2 linked regions of the Nothobranchius furzeri genome follow. The protein of the gene in region 1 purifies or fractionates together with the protein of each later gene. This does not show direct contact. Links are inferred from orthologs where the notes say so. Each region holds a gene or a part of one and is shown in the gene's direction. Other genes may lie near its edges. The genes, in order: pam16 and dnajc19.

What was found.
Region 2: the proteins of pam16 (region 1) and dnajc19 purify together in Homo sapiens (affinity purification with mass spectrometry; 3 studies listed by BioGRID and IntAct, with this or other methods). This does not show direct contact. The link is inferred for Nothobranchius furzeri from reciprocal best matches to the Homo sapiens genes PAM16 and DNAJC19.

The regions. Positions count from the first base shown.
Region 1 is NC_091752.1:57,765,469-57,770,063, reverse strand, and holds the start of pam16 (mitochondrial import inner membrane translocase subunit tim16), read left to right. Parts: upstream 1-1,685; 5' UTR 1,686-1,807; coding exon 1,808-1,810; intron 1,811-2,080; coding exon 2,081-2,165; intron 2,166-2,234; coding exon 2,235-2,371; intron 2,372-4,595. UniProt on the Homo sapiens protein: Regulates ATP-dependent protein translocation into the mitochondrial matrix. Inhibits DNAJC19 stimulation of HSPA9/Mortalin ATPase activity.
Region 2 is NC_091748.1:72,976,566-72,980,907, forward strand, and holds the start of dnajc19 (mitochondrial import inner membrane translocase subunit TIM14), read left to right. Parts: upstream 1-1,229; 5' UTR 1,230-1,351; coding exon 1,352-1,354; intron 1,355-1,697; coding exon 1,698-1,749; intron 1,750-4,166; coding exon 4,167-4,240; intron 4,241-4,333; coding exon 4,334-4,342. UniProt on the Homo sapiens protein: Mitochondrial co-chaperone which forms a complex with prohibitins to regulate cardiolipin remodeling.

The DNA.
Region 1 (4,595 bases):
TTAGTCCGAGTTAGATTTTAATCTTTGTTCTTCCAGGAATAGACGTCAGGAAGAGGTAAAATAATCCATTGTGAGTTTCTAAGGAGATCTTTTATACTTCAAGAATGAGTTTTGTTTTTGTTTACTGGCTGCTTTTAACTTTTATTGTGGGATTTCACTAAACCATTTGGTTTTCTCTGACTGCTGGAATGTGGTGAGAAACAAACAGTACAGTGTTCTTAACTTCCATCATGTAGTCGTCACTCAGGGCTGCAGCAATAAGACCAGAGACCCACGGATGACCCGGCTTTTGTTTACATTCTCTTAAGAACTGGATCAATCCGGTTGGGCCAGCCGTGTGACAGGTGCCACGTGAGTTTATTTGGTGTTGACTGTACGTACTTGTGATGCTCAGAAATTGTTGTATTTGGATTGGAGTTACTTGCCTTCAATTGTGTGTTTTTATAAAGTGATTTGTTTTATGTTTCCTGTCTTTCTAGTGTAATGATTTGTGGACTTTTTCTAAATCTTCTAGCAATAAACACAATATGAACTCTGCTCCTATTGCTTCAGTGTAATTAACATGACAGCTACACACACACACTACCTTATACATTATTAAATAAAGCAATATTAGAAACAAATGTATAAGAATAATACCATACCACTTTAATAAGGCGTATTTTCCCACAGCGTGTCAGCTGCCCAACGCGCAGTACAACAAGGGTCATGAAAAAAAAATTAGAGACCAATAAAAAACTAAAAACACTGTGTGTGTGTGTGGGGGGGGCAAAACCAGTCATAATGAAATGTAAGAAGTTCACAGGTTAAAAACAACCAAACACTAAAACCGTCATAAGAAAGCCAGGGCACAGAAGTCGGCTTTTAGCTTTGCTGCCACAGGAGACGCCTGTTGTACCTCTAGCGGCAGGACACTCCATGTACTGGAGTTGCATACAGAAAGGCACGTTCACCCCTTTTCCTTTATCTCTTTTCGAGTGCAAACATAGACTGTACAAAGCAGCAGATGGTAATGAATATTTCCTTAACATGGTGTGGAGTAAGCATTTCAATAATTAATTACCTTTTTTTTATACGTTTTAGATTCTTACGTATCTGAAAGTGTCACCATTAAGTTTGTTTTGTTCTTTAGGATTTGGATTCATGTATGGTGGTCAGCTATTCATTTATTGGACAAATTAATCAGAATCTTTTTAAGAAACAGATCTACATGGTATCAGTTTGAGAAAACTTATAGGAAGTCAGCCATCAGGTTTGATCAAAGTTTTGTAAGACAGCATGATGTTTTGTTAAATGTGCAGATGCTTTATATAACTGGATCAAACCTCAGATTCCAGCTTACTGCACCTTTGTTGTGCTGCACGGTGGCGCGGTTGGTAGCGCTGAAGTTCACAGGTTCAAATCCCTCTCGCCCAGTGACACCAACTCCCCGCAACCCCTAATGAGGATGAAGCGGTTCAGATGAGAAAGATGGATCAGTTTTTAATTGTTTATTTTTTTTTATTATGTATAATTTTAGAATTGTTTATCTCTATGAAGTATTTTTGAGTCTTTTGTTTTACATACTTTCATCTTTTCTAATTTTCGTAACAACTGTTTTACAAGCAGAGCACAGGTGACCTTAGAAGCATCAGGCTGCAGTTAGACTTCCTCGCCAGCAGGTGTCGCTGTCTTAATAGTCACACCAAGACGGCCAGTCTTGAATTCGTAATGTTGCTTGAACTTTGACCTCCTTCGGTAACCTTCAGTACCCATGTGTGAATACAAGACTGTCGTCTTCCGCGGAGGCTAAGTATTATATTTAAAAATGGTAAGGTCACGTTTATGTGTTCTCGTTTATAGTCTGTTGTTGAAACTGAAACGTGAACAGAAGCTGTTGTTTTGAGATTAATTCGTGGTTTGCTGCAGCGCTAGCTTCATTATCTGATCAGATTTGGTTTTTAAATGTCAGAATATTAGCTGAGTGTCTCTAACGCGCTAGTCGTGTTGGGGTATTCAGCCTGAGTGCGACGTAACCATTAATGACATCCAGTCTATAAACTACCAGCCACGCGCCTCCTTTTGTCTTTATCTCATTCAGGCCAAGTATCTGGCTCAGATCATAGTGATGGGAGTCCAGGTGGTGGGCAGAGCCTTTGCCCGTGCTTTACAACAGGAATATGCAGGTACGACCCGTCATTGCTCGCGCGCATTTGTGTGTGTAATCATGTAGAACTTTGTATCTCCTCCATCAGCCAGTCAAGCAGCAGCTCGGGCCAGAGGTCGGACAGGTCAGCAGTCAGCTGCAGCCTCCAGCATCTCTGGGATGAGTCTACAGGAGGCTCAGCAGATCCTCAACATCTCCACTCTCAGTCCTGAGGAGATCCAGAAGGTACACACATTCTCTCTCTCTCTCTCTCACACACACACACACACACACACACTGGTGGCATTTTTTAGAAGCTCTCTGAGCGTGCTCTGTAATATTTAGTGAGAAATTTATTTATTTTAGTCTTGTTTTTATCCACTCATCATAGGTTGCATTTGAGAAAAGGATTCAACATTCATATACGTTCTTTAATGAACTAAATTAAAGTTTGTGTCCTCTCCTTCTGTTTGACCTTTTCTGATGAGCATCTAAAGACGTTTCTCAGCAGAAGAAACCACAATATTGCCGTTCATGACTATAATGATCCAAATGCTGATGGCATCCTAACCCTATCAAACTGTCCACTTAGGAAGCAACACTGCTGTTGTGCAAATGGAAAAGACAACAGGTGGAAATTATTAGCACTTCACCTGTAAGACATCTCCAATGAAGAAGTGGTCCTGCAGGCGGTGATCACAGAGCACAGGTTTTCGTAGAGCTCATTCTACTGAAACAGCTCTTCTTAGGGTCTCTAATGACCTTCTGGCTCACAGTGATGCAGGGGACTGTTCTGTTCTGGTCCTGCTGGACCTGACTGCAGCCTTTGAAACAGTTGACCATCACCTGCTTCTGGAGAGGCTGAGAGACTGGATAGGCCTATCAGGATCTGCTCTGGAGTGGTTCTCCTCTTATCTTTCTGAGCGCTCCTTTTCTGTGGCCATCTCCAAGTTTAGGTCCTCCACCACCTCTCTTACCCATGGTGTCCCACAAGGTTCTGTGCTGGGGCCTCTACTCTTCCTCCTCTATCTGCTCCCTCTTCAGCACATCCTGAGCTTCTTCAAAGGAATCTCCTACCATCTTTATGCAGATGACATCCAACTGTACATCTCCTTTAAGCCCCATGAGATGTCTAAGCTGCAGCTGTTACACACCTGCTTAGACTCTTATCAAAACCTGGATGGCTGGGAGCTTTCTACAGCTGAATGAAGATAAGACTGAGATCCACATCTGTGCTCCAGACAAGCTGGTTCCCAAAGTCAGAGACTCTCTTGGTCTGCTTGCTTCTCACACCAAACCTTCCGTCAGGAATCTTGGTGTGACCTTTGACCCAGCTCTCCCCCTGGACTCTCATGTCAGTTATCTTGTTCGCTCTTCCTTCTTCCATCTCAGGAACATTGCTAAGCTGAGTCCCATTCTGTCCCGTTCTGAACTTGAGACAGTTATCCACACCTTCATCTCCTCATGCTTAGACTACTGTAACTCTCTTTTCACGTGTCTGAGCAGAACCTCCCTGAACCGTCTACAGGTGGTTCAGAATGCCTGTGCTCGGCTTCTGACCAAGTCCTCCAAACACACCCACATCACCCCGCTTCTCCTCCAGCTTCACTGGCTGCCAGTCAACTTCAGGGTTCATTTCAAGATCCTGGTTCTGGTCTATAGGGCCTTACATGGACAAGCACCATCTTATATTGGTGATCTTCTTAGTCACTACACCCCCAGCAGGTCCCTGAGGTCCAGTGATCAAAGCCTACTGGTTGTGCAGCACCAGGCTAAAGACCAAAGGTGACAGATCATTTGCTGCTGTGGCCCCCAGACTCTGGAACTCTCTCCCCCTGAGCCTGAGATCAGTGGACTCAGTGGTCTCCTTTAAAAAGCAGCTGAAGACTCACTTGTTCAAGCTGGCTTTTGTGTGACCTTCTTCACCACTCTCTCTTTATTCTTTTCTCCCCACCTATTCCACCTTCCTCAGGATCCACTGATTTCCCTCTTTCCTATTCACTCTCTCTCTCTCTCTTAACATTTTTTAATCACAATTGTCTATTTTTTGCTCATTTTAAATATATTTTTAACCATTTTCTAAATTCTTTTTTATATTTTTACATTTTTTGTTTTTGTGAAGTGCCTCGTGATTTTTATCTTGAGAGGCGCTATAGAAAAGATATTTTCTTCTTCTTCACTTTTCAGTTCCTCTGCTTTCTGACTGATATTTTGGTCCCTTTTGAATGCTGGTGGTGCTTTCACTGTAGTGGTGGCATGAGGAGTCTGCAGCTCACACATGTGGCTCAGGTAGTGCAGCTCATCCAGGATGGCTCATCAGTGTGAGCTGTGGCCAGTAGACAGGCCAGCGCATCAGGAGGTGTGGAGGAGGCCGTAGGAGGGCAACAACCCAGCAGCAGGACTGCTACCTCCACCTTTGTGCAAGGATGAACAGGAGCAGTACTCCTTGTTATGCTCTTTCTGTTTCTTT
Region 2 (4,342 bases), on another chromosome or scaffold:
CTCAAGATGGGTGAGTCCATGAGTGATAAGTGACAGTGTGACGTGGATCTGTCCGGCTTTTCTAATCCTAGAGTTTCACCGTCTTTTTTCTATCAGAAGCTAAAGGTGGAGATAGGTGTAGGACACTATTTTCATGCTCAGCCTGCATGAAAAACTCAGGGTGACCCGTTATAATCAGAAATAATCATTAAAAACATGTTTTTCAGTGTTTCACAACTTTAACTGCTAATGAAATTAGAGTTGTACAAAAGGGATTATGAAAAGATTTGGAGATATAAGAGAAATGAGTTCTGATGGGACAGAGAGACAAGAACATTAGAAAGTCAAATAATTTATGAGTCAATTATGTTATTTTTACCTCGTGTTTTTTTTAGTTTGATCAGAATTAAAAGTTACTGATTCATGCCCTCTGAGAATGATTTTCATCATTTGTGTCAACTTTATCATAAAACCATAAATAGGCATATGTGATTTGTCAAAACTGTTTAATTCTAAACAATATCATTAACCTGAACTCAAAAAAAATATTTTTGTAACGTTTTAGCTGTAACGGTGGAAAAAGTAAAGCTGGTCCCAAATCTTATTAAAATTGCAATAATATACAAACAGTGGCTAATATGGCAAGGAGCTAGAAAAGGATAACGAAGTTAAAGATGCAGTGTGTACAAATATAGTGAGAATTTTACAGTGAGAAAATTCCTAACTAGTTTCAGTCATTTTGGAAGGAAGGTTATACTGAAATATATTTCATATCCAGCCGGCTGCGGGGATTGCCAGTTTTTCTCCTTTCAAAGCAAAGGGAGGACGGAGGCAACTACTGTTTACCATCAGTGAGTGTGGAGGTGCCGTGTCTCCTGCGAGCTAATACTGCAGCGCCGCTGACATTTGTAATTTGCCTGCAACAAGCTCCAGGGTGGTTGTAGTAACCACATTTTACAACATGATATCATTTTTACTTCATTTCTACATAATGCTCCTTTAAAATAATCTGACAAAAAGTTAATTCTCAACATGAGTAAAAATCAAAATAAAAAGTCACTGATTTGTTTTCATTTTGTAAACAAACAAATGTTTCAAGTGTTGTACAGATTAAAAGTGGTAAAAAAAACTGTAGTAAAAGTGTATTTTTAAACAGATTTTACCTCCAAGAAGCCGGATTTGATTCCAAATTATTTCTCATAGGCACCACTAGCTAAAATCTGGAGAACAGCAGGCGAGCCGCTTTACGGCATTTTTACAACACTTCACATCCATTTCCGGTATAAACACATGGGACGTCTGAGCTAGCTAAACACAGGGGTCAAAAGTTATGCTCCTGTTCTGTAACAGAAACGGAACATAACACAGAGAAATGGTAGGTCGGACACATTATTTACTATCGAGACGGGTGTATGAAACGCCAGCGTGCTTGGGAGTGGGTCATAAACTGCGATAACCCTATTTTCATAGCTAAGCTAACATTAGCATTCCTAGGATGTGTGACCCAACAGGACTCTACAAATCCCTTGTTTAGGTTTTACCTAACGCAACAGCCAAATCACTGTTTCTGTGTTTAATGGGTGATTTTTTTTTTTAATTTAATGTGAAAGTAGCACTTACACATTTGCAGAGCAGTTTTGTTTACATTTGCTGCAGCAGAGAAGCTTGTGAGGCTGACTGACTACATCACGTTTCATTATTATTATTTACCTCGACAGGCCAGCTCCATGGTGGCAGTGGGACTGGCTGTGGCAGCAGCTGGATTTGCAGGTGAAATCAAAGACAAGTTTATTAGTATTTTAATATCCATTAACCAGAGCAGTTTGTTTACGTTTGATGTGAACTGATTTAATTATACAACTTATTTTTCTTCTATTAAATAATATAAACAACTTTCAAAAGTTGAAGATTATTAGGGTGAGAAGCTTGGTCATCCAAGAGGGGCTCGGAGTAGAGTCGCTGCTCCTCCACATCTAGAGGAGCCAGTTGAGATGGCTCAGGCATCTAGTTAGGATGCCTCCTGGATGCCTCCCTGGTGAGGTTTTCCAGGCATGTCCAACTGGGTGGACACCTAAAGGAAGACCAAGGACATGCTGGAGGGACTATGGGTGTTTCTCAATGTCAAGGCGCCTGGCCTTGCGAGGCGATGTCTTGCGAGGCCAGGCGCCTTGCTTACGAGGACACGGCCCTTCCTTGGTCAAAGAAAACAGTTAAATGGAACAGACTTGCGTCACGTGACTGCGGCTTCCACGGCGGTCGCGTAACGTCACGTGACACGGGAGATAACGTTATATTTTATATGTATTAGTTTAAATATAAATACATAACAAGCCTTTTACTTTTTAAATTGTGTATATGTTTATTAAATTATATTCAAATATATATTGTGTTTTCATGAATATTGTTTAGTATCTGTTGTGTTTTTTTTTTGAATGAAATAAAGATAGTAATAATAATAATAATAATAATAAATTAAAAATATAAGTGAGTTACTACACGCTAGCCACTGAAGCTGCAACTAATAAGCAACTAACCAACAATAGATAACTTCTTTGGATCTAAAAAAAAAATAAACATTTAAAATTAGCCGACTTACTTTTAAACTTGAAAATTGTACCAGAAGTAGCTGCCGGCTTCTAAACTGTCATCCTTTTGAAAATACTGCTGTGTATTCTGGGTAGTTTTTGACCAAGGCTAGGCTACAAAACACCTCTCGTGTATCCTCGCTCAGCTAGCTAAACGGCTAACAAACGGAGAACACACGCCTCGGTAGACCATGAACATTGGAACACGTCTTGGCAGCTCCCGATGACGTATCTCCTAGGCAACCGGGGCGGGGCCAAGACATCAAGGCAATGTTCCTTGGCATTGAGAAACACCCTATGTTTCTCAGCTGGCCAGGGAACCCCTTGGGATTCCCCCGGAGGAGCTGGCCCAAGTGGCTAGAGAGAGTAAAGTCTCGGCCTCTCGACTTAGGCTGCTGCCCCTGCAGTCAGACTCCGGATAAGCGGAAGAAGATGGACGACTGTTCTTATGGACTATATAAAGCAGGCATCTCCAAAGTGTGGCCCGGGGCCATTTGTGACACTTGGTGTGGTTTTGTGCGGCCCCCATTTGCATCTCTAGAAGTCTCTTCTGTAAGCTGTTGATGTAGATCGACACTTTCTAACATTTTTATGTTCAAAGTGTCCTTGATGAGCCTATTTCTGGAACAGTTTTGAGGAATGTAAATGAAAAAAAAATCACCTTAAAATGATTTGAGCTTTTCTAGAAGAAGACAAAACGACATATTTGAGGTTCCCGAGAACGTTTAACTTCAGTTTTGTTCCACATCTTCAAAAGTTCAGACACCACTGATCAGGGTATCTGCAGGTTTAAGGGAGCCAAATAAGACCTTTTTAAAGGCCACTTTGACCAAATTTAAGCCATTTTTTAAATTTTATTTCTGCTATAATTTCCAGCTATTGCCTGGAACCGGTGCTAACCACGTCGCAAACGTGGGATTAGCCATCCAGTTACCGTTAAACTTCCACTTCCCCATGGCGCAAGCTCCCACTAGCTTAACCAGCTAATGTGCTCATCTAAAAATAGCCCCCTTTCACAACCAACTGAATGTGTACGGTTCCGCTTACGCCAACCATCATACACAAAAAATGCTCATCACTAACTAGAAATTCACAAAAATCTCATAGAAATTAAATAATTTAATTTATTGGGTCTTTGGTAATTTAAGACCTTTGGAAACTGTATTTAAGGATTATTTGTCATTTTTAAGGATTTTCAAGGCCTTAAATTTGGAAAAGTAAATTTAAGACTTTTCAAGGACCCGCGGATTCCCTGACTGATTTAAAGGGGACAAGGTGTTAAAAAAAGGACACTAGTTCTTTGTCTTCAAGACGTGAGAAAGTGATATACGTGAAACGATCTCATGTCTGACCAGTAAAGAATCCTGGTGTGTAACTGAATAAAACAAAACAAAAATTAAGCTGTGAGTTTTTCAGATTTCTCAGTTAAAATTGGGATTATAAATTTACTTTTATAGTGACTTAGTGGTTCAGTCAGTGAACCTGCTGCTTTCTGAATGTAAACGAATGATCACTGTGGTGTCATCTAACAAAACAAGCATGTCAGCAATAAGGGAGAACAACTTTCCAAATATCTGCTGCTCACATCTGTTTGTCTACCAGGACGATACGCCATGCAGGCCATGAAACAAATGGAGCCTCAAGTCAAACAGGCACTTCAGAGTCTTCCCAAGACGGTATTTCAGTCTGGAGATATAGTAACATAAATGGGTCTTTCATTTATTCATTCACTCATTCAGCTTCTTATCACTTACACTATGTTGTTGCAGGCCTTTGGA